Linked DNA regions of Oreochromis niloticus. The main gene of each other region encodes a partner of the protein of the gene in region 2 in a complex. Links are inferred from orthologs where the notes say so. Each region holds a gene or a part of one and is shown on either strand. Other genes may lie near its edges.

Region 1 (10,549 bases), on a different chromosome or scaffold from region 2:
ATATTTCCTGGAAAGGTTGAGTGAGGATGTAGATTTGCCAAGACCTTACAACCTGGCAACCCAGAGCTTGTGCTTCTTAAAGTTTTATTACTGATTTTGTAAAGCATTTAATAATGTTAAAAAAAAACTATCTAATTAGATTCTTTATCTTTTTTTTTTAGAAAAAGAACAATTTTATTTAAAGGTACGTATTTAAAATTGATGGTTAAAAACCTTCTGAAATGAACTGAAGCCATCAAATAATGTGGAAAAAAAATACTATGACTTCATGGACATCATCTCTGTATGGTATTAACCCTGAAAAGCCTGAACCAAGAAATAACTGCCAGGAAATTCACACTCTCAGAACACTCTTTTTGAGAGTGTTTATTCAACCTTACTTTTAATTTTTTACAAAAAAGAAGTGAAATATCAATTTGCATATATGAGTTTTAATTTATTGCTACAACCGGCATTTTTGTGCAATTTATTGCTTAAAAGTTTATTGTGCAGTTTATTCAGGTTTTTCAGGAAAAAAGAAATCACATTGATAATGTAAGGGTCTAAAAAACTCATGTATCAATTATGATATACTTGGCATTACAGGGTTAAGTTAAAATAGGACCCAACTGTACTTTCATGCAATGCACATTTGTTCCACAAGATGGTGCTGAAATAAATGTAACATTATAACTTGTAAATCAGGTAAATCATTAGGAAAACATTCCTATTTGCAATGGTGGCCTGCAAAAGGCAACACGTTAAAAAACATAAAAAATGAAAAGAACGACACCGCCGAAAACATTTCAACACACCTGCTGAGAAAACCACTGCCTCCTGGTGGTGAAAGTTTTATTAACGCATGCGTACAATTTGCAGTGTGTGTTTACAAAAAGTACCTTTAAAATAGATTTTGTTGTGTCCGTGCACTGTAGGCTCCTGTAACTTTCACACCTTATAGTTGGCTGCAGTTTCTGTGCTACAGAGTCAGGAAAGTGCCAATATTGCATTGTTGAAATCAGTTTAACGTGAAATCTACTGGGGCTATATTTAAACCCCAATGCTGTACATGACCAATCACAAAGTTTGTCTTCAGTCCAGGGTTCGAACACTAACAGGCTGTTAGAGAGTAATGGTACAGGCAGACACCAAGAAAGGAGCCCGAGTTACTTTTATTACGCTACAACCTTCCAGTTCCTTCAGAGCACTGATCTATTGTGAAACCTGTCCAGATTCCATGTGAGGTGCTTTGTTGCATGCCATTGATGCCTACTGTTTCTTTCTTCTGCTCTCCTTTTTTGGTTTTGTTTGTTTTTGTTTTTTCAACTGTTGCTCTGTCAAGCGGCGTGCTTGACTAGAACTTAACCTTCCAGCATAGCTGTGACTTCTCTGACTTGTGCTTGTTTACATCTAGACGAGTTTTGGACTGCTAGTGTGTCTTTTCATTTGTGCATCATTCTCCTCCGGCATGCATTTCACCCATATTTCCACTGTAGAGTATAAAGACCTGGCAGCGTACTGCTGAGTGTAAATATGAAATCTAATGTAACTTGAAGTAAAAGTAAAGAGGGCTGGACATGGAGGAAATATTTTAATGGCAAGTTGGTAATAAAGAATGAGTAACATATGTAAATAGTCTGTAAATTATTGTTATTAATTATTCTTATTATTACTATTCAGTGTCTACAGTTACATTGAAGGTGCATTCCTGCTCCCTTGTGATCTTTACATAATCAAACTGCTTCTCTCTGCCTCCGACAGGACTGAATTATCATAGGATCTAGAGATGAACAGCCAATTGTTACACGGTTAACACCGCTTCTGTCGTCTTTCCTGAGATGCTTCTGTTTTCTCACACTCACAGCCAGACTTCTGAAGTCAAAGGGAAGAGAGGAGTGCTCTTATTTTATTATGCATTCTGTTTCTAAGTAGAAAAATACCCATTGATGTAAAACTAGTACTGTGACAATGTTGAGAACGCAAAATAAAATGATATACAGTCAAATCGGAGCAGTTGTCTGCCTGTTTGCATCCTGCTTGGTATTTCTTGGTGTCAGATGAACGACTGGGAAGATCAAGGAGCTACACTTCTTGTAGGCTGAATTCTAAGATCCCTAAATGAGTGAATGCATGAAAGCAGATGGAGAGGAGGAAGTAAATATGGCTGTGCTGTAGGCTCCTCTGTACCCTGACCTGAAGGCCGCATTCCTACTTTGCTGTACAGCTTTATTGTCCTTTTTTTTTTTTTAATGCAAAAGTATGTGCATCCCAGAACTGAACTGGCATAGTCTTCCAGATCAGTCTCACCTGCAAACATTTCCCAGTCCGTATTGTCAGGTCAGTCTTGCAGTATTGCAGGTTGCTGTTTTGACTTCAAGTCTTTCTCTGCAGATCTGTGGTGTATACCAGAGTAAGGCAGAAATGATCTAATAGCCTCAGCTGTGCAGATAGATGTGTCTTATGAGCTCTCTGTATATTTGTTTTACCACTCCCTTTAATGTCCATGCTCATTTAATGTCCATGCTCATAATAAAATATGAATTCTCACCTGTTACTGTGTCTTAAGTTGGTTTGAACAACCAACAAAGAGCAGATGCTGGCAGGTTTAGATGTTTATTGAAGTGCAGCAAGACGGATACTGGTAAGATTGAGAGTTTTCAAGTGTCTTACTCAGAACTCAGGAGGTGTACTTGGTCAGCTAGTTGCTGAGAGGGGATGGGTGGAGAGCTGGCAAGCAGGTGGAGAGGAGGTTAGTCCTTTGAGGGTAAATGCACTGGCATGCCAGAGCTGAGAAAAGCGGCTGATGGTGCTCACAGTCTTCAGGCATGTGTGACTTGGAGGCAGCAGGTTTCTCTTGTTCACAGAGAAAGAGCGTTACACAGGCACAGGAGATTACAGACAACCACAGCAAGGACAATCACCACCCATCAACAAAAAAATAATTAATTACACCATTAGGAATAGGCGTGGGAAGAACTGTCCAGACAGGAAAACCCGAGACTTAATGCCAGTCCAGCAACTCCACCTGAGACTGAGAGCAAAAGGGTACCAAAAAAGGAGGAAAATATAAGAAACTAAAGCCCATCCGGACAAAACATGTCAAAGTGGCCATTTTGGCCTCTATCAGGTGCCAACAATTGAAAATAAATGCATTGCACCATTTGGTAAATATTGTAGAGATAATTTTGAACATAGCTCTAATGGGTTAGGTTGTTCTAGACCTGCATGCACTATAGAAGGAATATTTATACATCCTATAGAGGCTTTTCTACTTCAAAGGGTTTTGTGCCAGCACTTGAGCAGGTTTTTCCTAACCCCAAACATGGTGTGGTGGCTGAAAATCGGGGAACTATATAGGAGTCCAAAACATCTTAGGACAGCATCTCTGTGATACAGTCATCCTAGTCATATGACCAGACTATAACAGATATTTTCCAAGAACCCGGTGGCTGTATACATTTCTTCCTTGGCACCTTTGGAGACCCAACCTTGTTTTAGAGTTTTATGAATCAAACACTGTCATGGAAGCTGCGGTGACTCCAATGGGAAAGGAAATCTTAGCACAGTGGATCAGCAATTACCCATGAATTTCTTGTGATAGCCACTGATCTTTGGGGTACAAATTTAAGACCAGCATGTGGTGCTTTTTTGTAGCAGTATGGTCTTTAAAGAGTGTAAAGAGTTCTATTTTAGCCACTGGCACTGCATCAGTGGAAAAGATGTACTAGAGCTCCAGAACCTCTGCCTGCTTCTTCATTCTTCCTAAAGGTGTCAATATTACATTTCAAAAGGTCCTGCTGAGAGTAGTCATAGAATATTCTCAAGAGTGCTTTAAAGGCTTCTCTACCCAATGATGGTCCTATAGCTGAAGAAACTAGGGCCTTTAAAGAACTGGGGTTTTTTTATATGTATATGTGATATATTCAGTCTTTATACCCTATTCTTCTTAAAAGTTGCCTAGTGTCCCTTATGTAGATTTTTACTGAATTGAAATAGACTGCATAGTTGTGGAACCAGACTCTTTTTTTTTTTTTTGGCTTTTGTATACTCAGCCTACAGCCAGTCTGACAGTACACAGTCTACTCTAGCAGGATAAAGTGCTTTGAAATATCTAGCATTGCAAATGTTTACACTTTAAGGATCAACGTCTTGCTCAAGAGCAGGGTGGGCAGGGGTTAAAACTATCAACCCTGTTAGTTAACCACTGGCTCCTGAAACAGAGTGTGCAAGGACAGGACTATCTACAGTAACTGAGACTAGATTAGCTCAGAATTGGTCTTCTTAGAGTGTTTCCATTATTAGATTTAGTGCACACTATGCATGTATTCGTGCATTTATGTATTATCTTGTATTGGTCGGGAACTTTCATGCAAACTTGAAACTCCACATCCTCAGTTTGACCTGACAACATCATCTTGATTTTATTCTCAGCTTTAAATTCAGCAGCACATAAGACATTGTACAAGTACTCCAACAGGGCGAGTACTACCTTGTGATGAATAAAATGACCTTTATGTGTGAATTTAGTGGAATTCCTAAAATCCCTACATTCCATGAAACAATAGTGAGGATATGATACCCACTGTCCTCGGCTGCAGCTATACTGTCCTGCCCATGAGTGATACATATGTGCTTCTATTTTCCTCCCCTTCACGTAGCTCCAACAATACAGAGGTCACCAGGGACACTGAGATATTTCTATCAACCTAAACAAAATTCTCAGGAAGTTGAAGCCTCTGATGAAGGTCACAACTGCAGTACTCTTATTCTTTTTTCAGTCTCGCACAGCCAGCATGCCTTGGCTGCTTGCCTAACTGTGGCAGGTGGTCTGAGTGACAGTTTGCCCTGTTTGTCTGTCTGGCCCTTGAGGCTGGATCTAAAAATAGATTCCAGCAATGAGGGCCACATCCGTAGTGTCAGCAGGACAACGTCATCATGCGGCCGGGAGGGACCAAGTACAGGGCTTCATTTCCTCTGCCAGCAAAGAACAGCATGTATTAGACAAGTACACATTCAATGATACGGAAGCAAACCAGCTCCAGGTTTTTATTTCTGTCAGTAGGGTGTGTGCATATTTTTCTTTTATTTATACAGCTTTTAAATATCTTAGTTGGTGGTGAAAATTATTCTACACACATGACAGTGGATAAAGAAAAGAAAAAAGTTATTGTCCATCATTTAGGTCCAGTTTCCAGTACAAGTCAGAAGCAGAGCCCTCTCTACTCTAGGGCTGAGTGGTGTCTTTGCATAATACGTCATCTAGTGGAGTCCTGCAGATATTACTATGATATGTTCAAGTACCGTCGGAGATTTCGAAAAACCAATAGCACTAGTATTCATGACATACACGAAATTTAATTTCTTTAAAGGTCTTGTGTTTTCCAACTTTAAATTCGAGGGCTCATAGTCAGCGAGACGGAGGATCATGGAGTCACGTATGGGTTTGTTTTTTTGTTTTTTTCCTGGGATTGCTCTACCTGAAAGCTACAAATATGAATTGCATATTTTAGTAATGAAACATGAGTGAAACATATACATTATATACGGATAACTTGGTGAATAAAATAAAATATAATTCAACAAACACTTTAAAAGTCACAATCTTTATGACCACGGTCTTCTGTAAAGAACACGTGAAAAATAAAAATCAAAGTTGGTGAAAGAGTTATTTTTTACAACGATATTGATTTAGATTTTTTTGTAAAACACACAAACAAACAAAACAAAACATAATTTGTTATTCAAAGTTACATACCGAGCTTACTGGCAGTGTAATGTGTTAGAAGACCGTTCGCATTTGTCTATAGTTTACATGGGTCAGAGAACGCCTCTCGAACATATCTGTTACGTCATCAGCATGGGACAGAAACGGGTGAAAGGTACTTTGCTGCTTTGGTTCGGGAGCAGACCGATGGCTCTATGAAGTAGGGAGGTTTCTGCTAATAGAATGATGAACATGAACAGATTAATCGTCTTCTCTCGAACCTTTCGCATTGGACAGCGGTTGCTTGGCTGTCACGCGAGGCATGCTGGGAAAGAAGAGCTGAGACTACAGCAGCGGAGGAGCATTAAAACTCACTCCAGACACCTGGCGTATGCGAAGGATCTGTTCCTCGGTCAAGTGAACAAGGTAAAGGAAAAGAGCTGCCAGAACGCCTTACCAAGATAGTGATGGGCGGAGGAAGTCGTTTCAGAAAAGACTTTGTACTTTAGATGATAACTATATTCAACGCTAACAATCACCACCGTTCTAGCTTCGAATGAAGTATCGTTTGTCGTTTAGGAAACAAAGGGCTTTAGACGCAACACCAGAAAAATAAGACAAATAAAATGCAGGGAAGCTTGAAAAAACTGAGGCTGAGGCACTGTAACACCTGTTTGGAGTAAATGGTGATAGAGACTTTAAATATCTACCCAAAGTAAAACCAGTTATCGTGTAGGAAGGTCTGTTTATCTCACACAGTTATCACACAGTGATAACGTCTTCCTTTAGATTCCTCCATGTTGACATGAATCAGAATCAGAATCGTGTTTATTGGCCAAGTATATGTGCAGACAAATACAAGGAATTTGGTTCCGGTAGATGGTGGCTCTCAAGCACAGCAATGTAAATCACACACACGCACACACACACACACACACGTGTCTATATATACATTACACATGCATACACATACATACACAAAGCTGTGTAAACTAACTATAAATAACTAATCTAAACTTATATACATAAAATACAGAAATGAAATGAGGTGGAATGAATTCTTCAGAATGTACATAAGGTGCAGTTGCAGTCTGGCAGTGGGAGCAGTGTGACAGGTCAACTGTTTAGAAGGGAGATGGCGAGGGGAAAGAAACTGTTCCTGTGTCGGGTGGTCCTGGTCTGCAGGCTTCTGTACCGTCTGCCAGAGGGCAGCAGATCAAAAAGTCTGTGTCCAGGGTGTGGGGGGTATGTGATGATTTTCCCTGCCCGTTTCCTGGTTCTTGAGAGGTACAGGTCCTGGATGGAGGGCAGGGGGGCGCCGATGATCCTTTCTGCTGCCCGTACAGTCCGCTGCAGTCTGCTCCTGTCCTGTTTAGTGGCTGCACCATACCAGACTGTGATGGAGGAGCACAGGACAAACTCAATGACCGCAGTGTAGAACTGGATCAGCAGCTCCTGTGGAAGACTGTACTTCCCCAGTTGTCTCAGGAAGTACATCCTCTGCTGGGTCTTTTTGAGGATGGAGTTGATGTTGGTCTCCCACTTCAGGTCCTGGGAGATGGTGGTACCCAGGAACTTGAAGATCTTCACAGTCGACACAGGGCTGTCTGATCTGGTAAGGGGGGGCAGAGTTGAGGGATGTCTCCTGAAGTCCACTGTCATCTCTACAGTCTTAAGCATGTTCAGCTCCAGATTGTGCTGACTGCACCAGAGTACCAGCCGCTCAACTTCCTGCCGGTATGCAGACTCATCACCATCCTGAATGAGGCCAATGACAGTGGTGTCATCTGCAAACTTTAGGAGTTTAACAGCCGAGTTCTTGGAGGTGCAGTCATTAGTGTAGAGGGAGAACAGTAGTGGTGAGAGGACACATCCTTGAGGGGCACCAATACTGAGGGACCGAGTTTCAGAGGTGATCTCCCCCAGCCTCACTTGTTGCTTTCTGTCTGTCAGGAAGCTGGTGATCCACTGACAGGTAGCTGGAGACACGCTGAGCTGGGAGAGTTTGGAGGAGAGAAGTTCAGGCACGATGGTGTTAAAAGCTGAACTAAAGTCCACAAACAGGATCCTGGCATAAGTTCCCGAATCATCACACATTCAGTCTCCCTCTGTAACACATCCCAAGGCTGCTCTGCAGGATTTGTTTCTAAAGTCTGGAAGAGGCCATTAAAAGATGGTAAATCATGGCGATAAAGGGATGCACATGGTTACCAACAACCCTTACAGTGCTGTGATTGCTTCAAGGATCTCAGAGTGTGGAGAGAAAAGATTCCCTACACAGCAACAGCAATCTTTACTTTTGGCACAAGGCAGGTCAGCACAGTGGAATCATGCTCTTGATTCTCCCATCAGGACAGAACAGGGATTCACCAGCTTTTACTTTTCAGTCAAGTTTCTGCTCCCTGCAGTCTTACAGTTCTGTACCTGCCACTCACTGCGTGGTTTCTGCAACATTCTGAGTAAACTCTGGAGACTGATGGGCAGGTGAGCTGGTTCAGAATCATTTAAAACCAGCCCAGGCCACAGTCAGATTCAGGGACATGACCTTTTTCTCCTTTCTCGTATTTAATATGAACATCAGCTTTATCTGCAGGATTTAATGCTTCACACTATCACCACATGTTGGGTTAGAAGTATATAACTATATAACACAAAAATATGACTTGGACATTAACATAGATGCATAACCCTGTTACGATCTCTAAAAAGGCCTGTTTTGTTCTCCAGGCTGAGGTCTTTCCTTATCCGGAAATTGGAAATGATGAGTTGGAGGAGATAAAGCAGCTCGTTGCACCAGTAGAGAAATTCTTCAGTGATGATGGTGAGGTGGGACTTGAGTACATGCATGTGATCAATGACTTTCAGATATGATTTTTCAGAGGAATTAAATGACTGACATTGGAATTGGTGGATTTTGTTTGTTTTTGTTTCGGGGTTTCTTTGTCAGTTGACTCAGCAAAAATTGACCGAGAGGCCACAATCCCCCCGGAGACTCTGCAGGGGTTGAAGGATCTTGGGCTGTTTGGAATCATGATTCCTGAAGAATACGGTGAGATGATTTTAACAAAGCCCTTCTAAAAGCTAGTCTTGTCTCTCGGGATCCATCTTAAAAAATCAGTGAAAATTGATTTCAAAGCATTTTTGAGATGATCTTTAACTCCACCCAACTTTGCCCCAAAGTGAAGTTAGAAGTTAAGAGCAATGGTCTGTACGTTATACTAATACTTTGATCTGTGTTGTTACTTATTTTTACATTCTTTTATTTAGGGTATTTTTTTAAGGACAACTCCTCCCTCATATAATTTGTGTGACTATTTAGCTTGTATACACAACTCTTCTAAGGCTACTAGTTAGTTTCAACATTGCACTATACATAACAGAAGGATGCAGCTCCTGTTTCTGAAAAGTCAAGCCGGTGCAGCAGTGCCTGAAACTTGCATTCTTTTCATTGGCCAGCAGAGGGCAACTTCCTCCTGTGTAGGGCTGCCACAAACGATTATTTTGATAGTCGACTAGTCACCGATTATTTTTGCGATTAGTCGACTAATCAGATCATGCATCGATTGGACGTAAAACTTACAGCTTGAAAATATGTTAAACGTTTATTTTGTGACCCAGAAAGAATAATAAGAGTAATATTAAAACTAACTAGCTGCCGCCATTGTTGACAACTGCGCTGGGCCGCACTATGAATTCTGGGACACAGCTTCTTCTTCTTCGGGGTTTAACGGCAGCTGGCATCCTTTACATGCACTGCTGCCATCTTCTGTTTCAGTCCGTTATTACACTTTTAAATCCTACTACTTATTCCTGCGTCTTTTGGGATCTTACAAAGCTTCAAACGACGCGTCGACTATTAAATCAGTCGTCGACGATTTTGATAGTCGACGTAATCGTGACTAGTCGACTAATCGTGGCAGCTCTACTCCTGTGGTTGCAGAAAAGACATCTGATTGTGTGGACACCCTTAGTGGCATTTATTTCAATTCACTTTTATTTATTTATATATTTATACAGCACCAAATCACAAGAACAGTCACCTCAAGGTGTTTTATATTGTAAGGTAGACCCTACAATAATACATACAGAGAAAAACCCAACAATCATATGATCCCCTATGAGCAAGCACTTTGGCGACAGTGGGAAGGAAAAACTCCCTTTTAACAGGAAGAAACCTCCAAGAGAACCAGGCTCAGGGAGGGGCGGCCATCTGCTGTGACCGGATGGGGTGAGAGAAGGAGAACAGGATAAAAGACATGCTGTGGACGAGAGCCAGAGGTTGAAAACAAGTATGATTCAATGCAGAGAGGTGTTTAAACACATAGTGAGTGAGAAAGGTGACTGAAGAAAAAAATACTCAATGCATCACGGGAATCCCCCAGCAGGTTATGCCTATTGCAGCATAACGAAGGGAGGATTCAGGGTCACCTGGTCCAGCCCTAACTATAAAAAGGAAAGTTTTAAGCCTAATCTTAAAAGTAGAGATAGTGTCTGTCTCCCGAATCCAAACTGGAAGCTGGTTCCATAGAAGAGGAGCCTGAAAACTGAAGGCTCTGCCTCCCATTCTACTTTTAAATACTCTAGGAACAACAAGTAGGCCTGCAGTGTGAGAGCGAAGTGCTCTAATAGGGTGATATGGTACTACAAGGTCATTAAGATAAGATGGGGCCTGATTATTTAAGACCTTGTATGTGAGGAGCAGGATTTTGAATTCAATTCTGGATTTAACAGGAAGCCAATGAAGGGAAGCCAATACAGGAGAAATCTGCTCTCTCTTTCTAGTCCCTGTCAGGACTCTTGCTGCAGCATTTTGGATTAATTGAAGGCTTTTCAGGGAGTTTTTAGGACATCCTGATAATAAAGAAT
Region 2 (10,367 bases):
AATATTTACATTTTCTGAGAGCTAAAAGATTCCTGTCTTTACTCTGCGCATTCATTTTAAAAGGGATTTCTAATTAGATTAGACAATTCCTTAAAGTAACAAACGATTTTGATAACTCTGATAAAGAGTCAGAATATTGGAAAGAGGTTCAGACTTACAGCTGTCAGGGGTCGAGGTAGAAGAGGGCCAGACATTAGAGCAAGAAGGGTTAGGGTTAGGCTTTATCAGCTGGATTCACTCACTGCACACATAATGTGCATAAGGTTTACAATTAATAAAAGTACATTAACATGCACCTCTGCTTTATCATTTACTTTAAACCCAAATTAAACTACATTAAACCACCAAAACAGGTGATGACATTCAAACAGTAATTAGATCACCATGTTTTTGAACATGTGCATGCATACCAACCACAGGATTGCACTAATTCCTGAAGCCAGCCCAGTTCTGCTGAGCTAAAAACCTGAAGAATTCACTCTCAGCTGAAGTTAACATCAAGTTGAATTTTTCTACACTCTCAAATGGCAAATTTCCGAGAGCTACAGTACATGATCGAAGCTGCTGACATGAAAAGTTTCACTAACTGGAAGCGTTGGCCGAACTGTAAATGAAGCACACACAGAGCATTGTACTCACTCTGTAGCAGGTAGTACATGGTGCCAATCCCTCCACCCGTCAGCACAGTGGTGAAGATGGTGAGCTGCTGCAGGTGACTGTTGGAAATCCTCATGCTTGCTTTCTTTCCTGCAAAGAATGACAATGATCTGGTCGGTATACAGAGAGCATCGGTGTTTTAATAAGGAAGTATTCATGATTTGCCGTGAATTCTGTGGTGACTTTAGAAAACAATCTAAAAGTTTCTGAGAGGCTTAAGTCTTACACATTTCCAATTTTCTGAAAAAGAAAAAACATGTTTTGTCATTTTTAATAGCAAAAAATATGGTGACGCACTGACCCTCTCTCCTACGCACATACAGTTGGACAAGTACTATTAATATCACCGCCTGCATCCATGAGACAGTTCAGCTAATGATGGTAAAGGTTGCCAACACACAAAGACACATACATGCACATACATAATCCATCACAAAGTGCACCATAAGAATAACCACTCCATATCCAAATAACTGTGAATACATCCAATACATATAGCTATAAAGTCAAGTATGGTTCATGCTTTTGATTTTTTCCCTTATTTTCAGTCATGTATCTACTGTTTTTATGGTGGATGCTAAGATTGAACATGTCCAAAGCTAGCACAGGTAGAGAGGAGGTGATGGTGCTGTACGAGTGGTGCCTGGAAATAACCCGTCTCTTAACATCAGCAAAACCAGAGAAATGATAGTGGACTACCGGAAACGACCAGTCGGGGAACACCAGCCCATCCACATCAACGGTGTCAAGGTCGAAAGGGTCAGCAGCTTCAAATTCCTTGGAGTCAACATCACTGAGGACTTCTCCTGGACCCTTCACACAGACACTGCTATCAGGAAAGCTCGCCACCGACTCTACTGTCTGAGGAGGCTGAGGAAGTTTGGCATGAACGCCAACATAACCTCAAACTTCTACAGGTGTGCGATCAAGAGCTTGCTGATGAGCTGCACTACAGTTTGGTTCGAAGCTGCTCTGCCAGCAGCCGGAAATCTCTACAGAGAGTGAAAGCAGCAGAGCATGAGGACTCCTGTCATTCAGGATCTATCTTCAACGGTGCCTCCGTAAAGCACACAGCATCATCAAGGACCACAGCCACCCAGCACATCAGCTGTTCTCCTTGTTACCATCTGGCAGACGTTACAGGAGTCTGTCTGCTCCGACTACAAGACTCAAAAACTGTTTTTACCACCAAGTCGACATCTCAACCACAACACTTCACAGGATGCACACAGCTGTTCTGCAGTTTCACAGGTACATAATACACTCAGCACTGGTCACCCCATTTTTATTTTTTTTATTACTATTTCAATAAAAATAAAAACCCTCACTCTTACTGACCCTTAACCCTTACTATACTGCGGAGTGACTGTCTTCTGCTCGTCAAATACATTTTGATCCTGTGCTAACTTCTATATGACAAATAAAACGGAAACTGATGAGCCAAAATGTTAGGCTCAGCCTGGCAGCATTATATCAGCGCAAGTGGATCTCCCTAAAATGGTCAGACTGAGGATGAAAACAATGGCTGCACCACGATAATAAGGAAGTTTAACTGCAGCTGAGAGTCTCTGTTTAGCTGACATGCAGAGGCCTAAGAAGGTCAAACTCATGGAGAGAGAGAAGACGAACGCTTCTTTTCTTCTTTATGGGGTTTATTGGTGGTTGGCAAACAGCAAAATGGTGCATTACCGCCACCAACTGGCGTGGAGTGTGGACCGAAATGACAAAAAAAAAATACAAAAATTTAAATCTTCCCAAACAAATGGGTCTGCCTTAAAAACCAAAATACAGCCTGATTATTTTCACTTACAGAGTTTGTACGAAATAAATCAATCAAGTCCAACTTGACTCTCATATCATCCAGCTTTTTGATCAGTTGTCTTCTTTCAACATCATACTTTGACAATGCAACAAAACGTTCTATTGTTTCCTGTTCCCTACTGCAGTCACACTCCCCTGTACAGTGTTTTCCTATTAAAAGTAATGTGCTATTCAAACCAGTGTGTCCGAATCTAAGTCGAGATACAACCGTCTCCTCTCTCCTGTTTCTTCCTGTACATCTCATTTCTCCTACTTTCCTTTGGATTTTGTAAAACCATCGGCCTTTCCTCTCTTCCTCCCATTGCTTTTGCCACCTTTCCTTCATTTTGTATCGTATTCTACTCTTGATCTCTGTCCTACTAACACTAATAACCATATCCATCATTGGTCTCCTTGTTGCTTCTTTTGCTGTCCTATCTGCTGTTTCATTTCTGCTGATACTCATAAGAATGTGACCATAAGCCCCATCATAACAGTTCTGAATAATGTTTGCTGGATCTCTATCAGAATGTCAGGTCTGCATTCTGAGTGATTGCCTTGCAAACCAGCCAGTGATGAGTTCGAGTCCGAGCGTATCACAGATCTTAGTGGTCTGGTTTCTTCAGTCCACTGGACAGCTAACAATATTGAAACCATTTCTCCTGTGTACACTGATAAATCGTCACTGATCCTTTTCCCGACCTTGATATTAAACTCAGGAACAATAAATGCTATCCCGCTTTGGTTGGCTGTATTCTTTGATGCATCTGTGTAGATTTTTCAAACTGTCTACAGAAGCAACAAGTAAATAAGTATAGTTAGGGTGACCATATTTTGATTTCCAAAAAAAGAGGACACTTGGCCCAGTCATGAAGAACTTTAATAATACTGTTTGCTTAAAGAAAACATATTTAAATGATGCCTTCTCTGTGCGGTAAAAGGTGAAATAAAAAGTGTCATAAAAGCTTTTACAAGTCAACAAGTGCAAAAAAAGAGGACAGTTGGTCACCCTAAGTATAGCTAAGCACACGGGGTTTGAAAAACTAACACTTTTCTTTTTTAAATATAATTTGCTTCTTGAGGAAGGGAAACGAGGACAAAGGGCTGAGATGTCCAGTTTGCTGAAACACATACACTGCATGTCAAGGTTATCTTCTATATATGTCTAAATGTCGTTATTCACTTGAAAGAAAATGATATTTAAATAGCTAAGGTGTGTCACAGTTCAAGGGCTGCATCCGTGGATACAACTATAACACCACACGCCGGTCACACATCTACACAAACACTCACCTTGCGTTACGGCGGACCATTGTATTCGCTCTACATCCGTTAACGTCACAAAACACATAGCCAATCGGTTGTGGGTGCGCTTTATTAAACAGCCGGTTGCGCCCGTCGTCGCTTGTTCGCGCAGGCGGTGTTTATCCAAATATGATATTAGATCCTGTCGGGCATGATTCAGTGAGACTCTTTGCAGAAAGAAGCTGAAGCTGGAAGCCGTCCTTTACCGCAGTACTACATGAGACCTGTTTATGGTGGTTCATCAGCAGCACAGCGCGTCTCACCACCGTCCCTCTGGCCTCATACATGTCCTGCATCACCCTCACATGTCACTCCTGACTCCTTCGTGTAGTACCAGTTCCACTCTCTGTACTTTATCATCTGATTTCTTATGGGGTTTAAAAGAAGCCAGCTTAAAATGAAACTAAAAAATATTGGCATTGAAAAATAATATTGTAACTAAAATAAATAAACAGAAACATTTTGTATTGAAAGTGAAAAAAGACTCATTGAAACTCTAAATATAGACATTAAAACAAATAACTCCTGACCAAGTCTATGGGCTCAAAATGTGGTCATAAATATTTTGTACTTGTAAATCAGGATTTGTATGTGTAAAAAAAATTTGTGTGTGTGTAAAAAAGATTTGTGTGTGGACTTAGCCAAAAAAACCCTGCAAGTTACAAGTACGAATTTTGACCCTATTTTTCTTCCTTTAAGCTGATTGGTCAATGTCATGTCAATCACAAATTAAATAATCCAATCAGAGAACAGATGGGTTTGGCTGACGGGGGGCGGGATGCTTTACGGACCTTCAGGTCCTGGAAGGGTAACACAATTTGAAGATGGAGGGCAGCGGTGGCGCTTCTGCGGCGCAAGTAAGCTTTAATTTATGGTTTACTGGAACAAGCTAATTGTCCAGACATATATTTTTGAATATCATGTTCGGTTCGGTGCCAAAAGCTAGCCTAAAAAGGGCTCTCAACATTAGCCCTAGTGTTGCATGTGTTCAAATAGTCTCCTGTGTGGCACGGTCTGTCTGCTTAAACATCAGCATCGTGGAGAATTATGTGTTTGGAGTTTAATCCCGATGAGATGTCGTTTTGGTAATAATTGGAACTGAAATGCTCTGACTTGACCTTAGCACTGGTCCCAGGTCACCCCCGAGTTTGTGTTAGAGTAATACTACAGTAATTACAGCACACAACAACTTTCAGCAGCTACTGAAAGTTAGGGGACCTAGCTTCAGTGAGCGTTTTGGGATTTATGACAGCTTATAGGCAGCGACATTAAGAAGTACTCTGTCATACAGTACCAGATTGACCAAGAATGCTTCTGTAGTAACTGTAGTGCAGTGTCTGTCTGGTGTCAGTAAGCTAACGTCTGTTGATATTTGCTTTACTGGATGTGTCTTGTTCAAAATTTTAAGAAGGAATTCAGGAGAAAAAGATTTAAAAAGATTGAATTTGCTTCAGCAGTTGAAATTACAAGTTTATAGTGCCAGCCTTTTGTGTGAACCAGCTTCCCAAAAAGGATAATGCTGAAACGGGCTTTACAGCTTATATACTGTGACATAAAAACAGATGCTGATTCTAAGGCCCAGTTCAGGGCATCTTGTTCAGACTCCCTAACCCAGAGACTAATCTAACCATTATCGTGTGTTTGTAAGCATGCTGCAAAAAACCCCTCTGCACTCTGTGTCCCTGCAATATTTCAAATACAGCGCTGAATGACGCTCTCAACCTTCAAACATGGAGTGCCAACATGCTTATGAGCACATTTGCATTGTGTACATCTTAAAAAAATAATGAAACAGCCTTATTTAATAATTTTGTAAACTTGTAAATAAATTTTCAACCCTAACAGATGTCAAATGTGTTTAGGGACTTTTAAAGTCTTTCTTCATCGGGTTATGTGTTTTGAAGTGTGCTATACTAAATTTGTGGGTCATCTGTGTCATCATGGGAACATCCACGGGGTACTTCAGAGAGAACCCTTCTAAATAGGAGAGTGTATGATACATCCATAGAGAAACGTGTAAATCTTTGAAAATTGTCTGATTGTTTTACTTAACAGGTGACTGTAAATCAAGTGGACCTTGGTCTATCTCCCTCCAGAACAGAGAACCTGGATGTCCCTGTGACTCTTTGGTGAGTTCATTTTTTTTTCATTATTAAAGTAATGTTGTTTGAATTTTTTGAATATAGCAAGGTGGCACAGGATAGAACATATTTAAAAATAATTTTTAATGCAATTCAGTTTCTTTACTGTATTACAAAGTTAATCAAAATAAAAAGATTTTCATGAGAATATTATTTGGTTTTATTGAGTTTTACGCAGTTTGACATATCATTGTTCCTTCAATGCACTTCATATGATATCAGTAATTCCATCAATTTTTTCTTCTTTCAGGTGGCTTTAGGAAGACATGTTTTCCAAAACCTTCAAAATAGGCTGGTGCAGTCCTACCAACAGCAGCCCTTGGACCTTGATCATATTGAGTTCCTCTGCGTGAACGCATCAACTCTAGTCTGTTCTCTTTCTGCTCATATTAATGTTCCATCACTGGTAGGTTTATTTGATTTAGTTTTGGTTATCTTTAAAAATCGTTTCAATATATGCCATTCTTATGTATCTTATAATGTTAATTTTACAGTGTAGTAATTATGCTATACAAATAAACCTGTCATCCATTGCTTTGTTAAATCCAAGATGAAATTTTGTTCTGTGTTTCAATTAGAGCTGGGCAATAAAACGATAACGATATGTATTGCGAAATAACTTTTTCTCGATAGAAAAATTAAACTATTGCGATAGGCCTCATCTCTCTTGTCCTCTTAAAAAAAAAGAAAAAAAAGAACAGCCAATCAAAATTAAGTAGCGCAGAGCCGAACCAATCACAGCCGCAGCGTCACGTCACGTGACTTGTTACGTACAGCACAAGCGCCAAGGCGCACATGTGTATTTGTTTTTGCAGCCGTGCAGCCCGGGTAATGAAGGAAGTGAGTGTGCCGACTAGAGAAAAATCAACCGAGAGCGTGAGCGAAGGTTACCGAAGAAAAAACAGATGATGGTTCCAATGCCGGAGAGCTTGTCGAACGGAAGGGCCACAGAAGTTCCGTAGTGTGAAGGTATTTCGGCTATTTCAAGTCTGACAAAAAACAGAGTAGCGCGCACTGTAAATTGTGCCGAAAGCAAGTCTGGAAATACAATAAAGCGGTGCATGCTCAATCTCTGACTGAAAGCGCTGATTCGTCATTCGGCTTTTGTCAGACTAAAGTAACTGTTAAAACTGTTTGAAAAGCTAAGCTATACAACAAGGAGAGATTGAGAATTTCCTTTTAGTTCTCAGTTTATTTGATATTGACAAAAGTTAGTCAATTTTGTCTGTTCTTCTGTAAAACAAACTAAGATTTATTTTTAGAATTAATATTTTGTTTCTAAGTGGAATTGACAATTTAGTCTGTTTTGTTTGTTCTATTTTGAAACTTAAACGCTTTAGCGGCTGCCTTTTGTGTAGTTTGCAATATTTGCCTTTATTTATCTGAAACTGAAGTCTCATGTTCCTTAAGTACATCTACCCTGTTGAACTTAAATGGTAAATGGCCTGTATTTATATAGCGCTTTTATGGTCCCTAAGGACCCCAAAGCGCTTTACATATCCAGTCATTCACCCATTCACACACACATTCATACATAATACAACTTATTATGGGAAATAAATATTTAAATCAAAACAAGCTGCTGATTATTTCACATTTTACTTGTGAGTAACGGCACATTTAAAACTTACAAATATAGTTATTTGGCTTATATCGTGATATATATCGTTATCGCCTGAAATGAAAAAAACATATCGTGATATGAAAAAATCTTATATCGCCCAGCTCTAGTTTCAATATAAAGATTGGGGATAAGAATAATGTTACTAAGATGGTAAAACTGAATTCTAGGATTTCATCCAACTAAATATTTTAATGCAACCATTTTTTAGGTAGTTGAAGCTCTTCACCACCTTATCTGCCTCATCCATTCCAATATGGATACGAGAAGGTCTGCCATTGTTGTTGACAGCTCAGCTGGTGAACGGGGGAGGGCAAAGCTCTATGTTTCCAAAGACCACCTCAAAGATCTAATAAAGATGGACCTCTCCGTTCCTTGTATCTCCAAGCTTTTGGGCATATTGCAGAAAACAGTCCGACGAAGAATGGAAGAGTGGGGCCTCTCAATAACGGCAACCTACAGCTCACTATCAGATGATGAACTTGACAACTTAATTGCAGCCATAAAACAGGAATCGAAATGTCTGGGTTAGTTATTCATGTGAAAAATAATGCTTGTAATAAGATTCTATTTTATTTTTCTTGCTTGCAACCTTTCATATTTACATGAATAACACTAGCTGAATGTCATGATTAGTTAGTAGTTTGATTTACTGTACTATAAGTGCCTTCCAATGTGCTGTTGTAATTGTTTCACTATGGGATGTCTTTTTAGGCTACAGAATGGTTAAAGGACGCCTCAGGGCACTGGGCCACAGGGTGCAGTGGAACAGAGTATGGGATTCCATGCGTCGTGTTGACAGTGCTGGAATCCTTGAAAGGATGGCAAATCTTGGATGTGTTGTTAGAAGGACATACAGTGTTCCTGGTCCTCTGTCACTGCTCCACATTGACACCAACCATAAGTTAATTAGGTAAGTTTAACATAATAGTCATAGGGCACATTTGGGCCCATTAATATTTAACTCATTAATGCATATGCAAACACTGTATTTTACATTACGCCATTACTTTACCGCCAAGTTAGTAGTAATATATATATATATATATATGTATATATATATATTCTCTAAATTCTAACAGATTAAGAGAAGTTCACCAGCCTTTGCATGCTTTTCGAAATGTGCGATCCACTTTCAAATTTGACAAGTCCTAACTTGTAATGTTTTATATTTTGATTATTGGTGAAAAATGCAATTAATTAATTATACTCAGTGGCTGAAGTCTTAGGGGCTGTGTCTTTGTCTCTTTGCAGATATGGACTTGTGATGTTTGGTGGTGTTGATGGCTTCTCAAGGAAGGTTTGCATTCTTCACTAAAATAGCAGAAAATGTGATGCTAGTAATAGTACTTCCATAATGTCTCTTTATTTTCAGATCTTGTACTTGAAAGCAGCTAACAACAACAAGGCTTCTACAGCGCTGACGTTCTTCCTTGAGGCTGTACAGAAGCATGGATTTCCATCGAGGTATAATGCAAAAACTTGCTGTTCACATTAGAGCATAGAGGCTTAAATCAGTCTCACTTCAATTTTGAATACACATTCGTGCCTGACACACATGCTTACTGTCTGGAAATGATTGAATTTTCCTATCATTTGTATTCTATTTGCAGTGAAATACTACAATAATAGTAATAATAATAATAATAATGATACGTTTTATAACATCTTAAGGTTACCTTACAATAGCACAAGAACAATAGCAACAATTCAATATATTGAAACATTGCAAATAAAATTTAGACATAAGTTAAAGAAGAAAAAAGCAAGCATGACAGTATAAAAGCTGAGCAAGTTAAAATGGACTAATACAGAATCAGGTGTATGCAATTCTGAATAGATGGGTTTTGAGACGTGACTTAAAAGTGGTGAAAGAGTTTGTGGTCCGGAGATCTGGTGGAGGTACATCCAAAGTCTTGGGGCAGAACAACTAAAGGCTCTGAGTCCCATTGTAGTTAGGCAAGCATGTGGAACAGACAGAAGGGAAGCTGAAGAAGAGCGAAGTGTATGAGGGGGCGAGTACAAATGTAGTACAAATGTAGAAGATCAGATAAATATGGACGAATATGTCAAATTAGTGCCAGCTGTTTCCCATGTGTTTTCATTTCCTCTAATCACACTTGTGTGTATTTAGTCTGTGTGTTTCTGTTCATTCTTTATCATGTTGTCTGTTGTCGTTTGTGCCATGTTTCCATGCGTCTCTGCTTCTACGCTCCAGGTTTCAGGTATCTTTGTATCCACGGCGAGTTTCATGTTTTGGTTTTTATGTATATCTTTAGTCTGCCCAGTTTAGCTTCATCTCTGCCTTTTGTTTTGTATAGTTTTTACCAGCCTTAAGAAACGGCTTGCTTTCTGTTAACATTCAAGTTTTGTTCCACATTCCATTTTTGTCTGCACTTGGGTCCACTATTCATACTTCACACAGTCAGCTGCTCAGCCAGACTGTGACAGAACAACCATTTCACTGACTTTGCAAGTTAACATTGCTAGTTGTGCATTGTACTTTTGGGGGAAAATATTTACAAATATAGTTCTGCATAAGACAGGGGTGTCCAAAGTCCGGCTTTTTAATTGGCCCTCAAGTAATTTTATAAATAGGATAGAAAATGGCCCGCACTTCAACTTTTGCTTGAGTGTATTGCACTTCTTAGTTTTAACACCAGGGGGAGCTGCTGTTGATCAAGGCAGTTGCTCCACCAAAAAGGACAATCACAGAAGAAATTTACCCCAAGTTACCAAACATGGCAGAACCAAAGAAGCGAAAGGTAGAAAGTGAATGCAGAAAATTTCAGACACGGTGGGAGAGTGAATATTTCTTCAAAGAATTCAAGGGGAAGTGTCTG

The links.
Region 1: coa1 (region 2) and acad9 share a complex: the UniProt entries of both Homo sapiens proteins name them as parts of the mitochondrial complex. The link is inferred for Oreochromis niloticus from reciprocal best matches to the Homo sapiens genes COA1 and ACAD9.

The regions. Positions count from the first base shown.
Region 1 is NC_031970.2:37,936,796-37,947,344, forward strand, and holds the start of acad9 (complex I assembly factor ACAD9, mitochondrial), read left to right. Parts: upstream 1-5,817; 5' UTR 5,818-5,926; coding exon 5,927-6,109; intron 6,110-8,410; coding exon 8,411-8,504; intron 8,505-8,630; coding exon 8,631-8,732; intron 8,733-10,549. UniProt on the Homo sapiens protein: As part of the MCIA complex, primarily participates in the assembly of the mitochondrial complex I and therefore plays a role in oxidative phosphorylation.
Region 2 is NC_031982.2:1,693,172-1,703,538, reverse strand, and holds the start of coa1 (cytochrome c oxidase assembly factor 1 homolog), read right to left. Parts: upstream 4,085-10,367; 5' UTR 3,809-4,084; coding exon 3,751-3,808; intron 748-3,750; coding exon 640-747; intron 1-639. Other genes in the region: uncharacterized protein LOC100710183, read left to right, coding at 4,541-4,619, 5,818-5,891, 6,154-6,309, 7,736-8,051, 8,239-8,437, 8,779-8,824, 8,900-8,991. UniProt on the Homo sapiens protein: Component of the MITRAC (mitochondrial translation regulation assembly intermediate of cytochrome c oxidase complex) complex, that regulates cytochrome c oxidase assembly.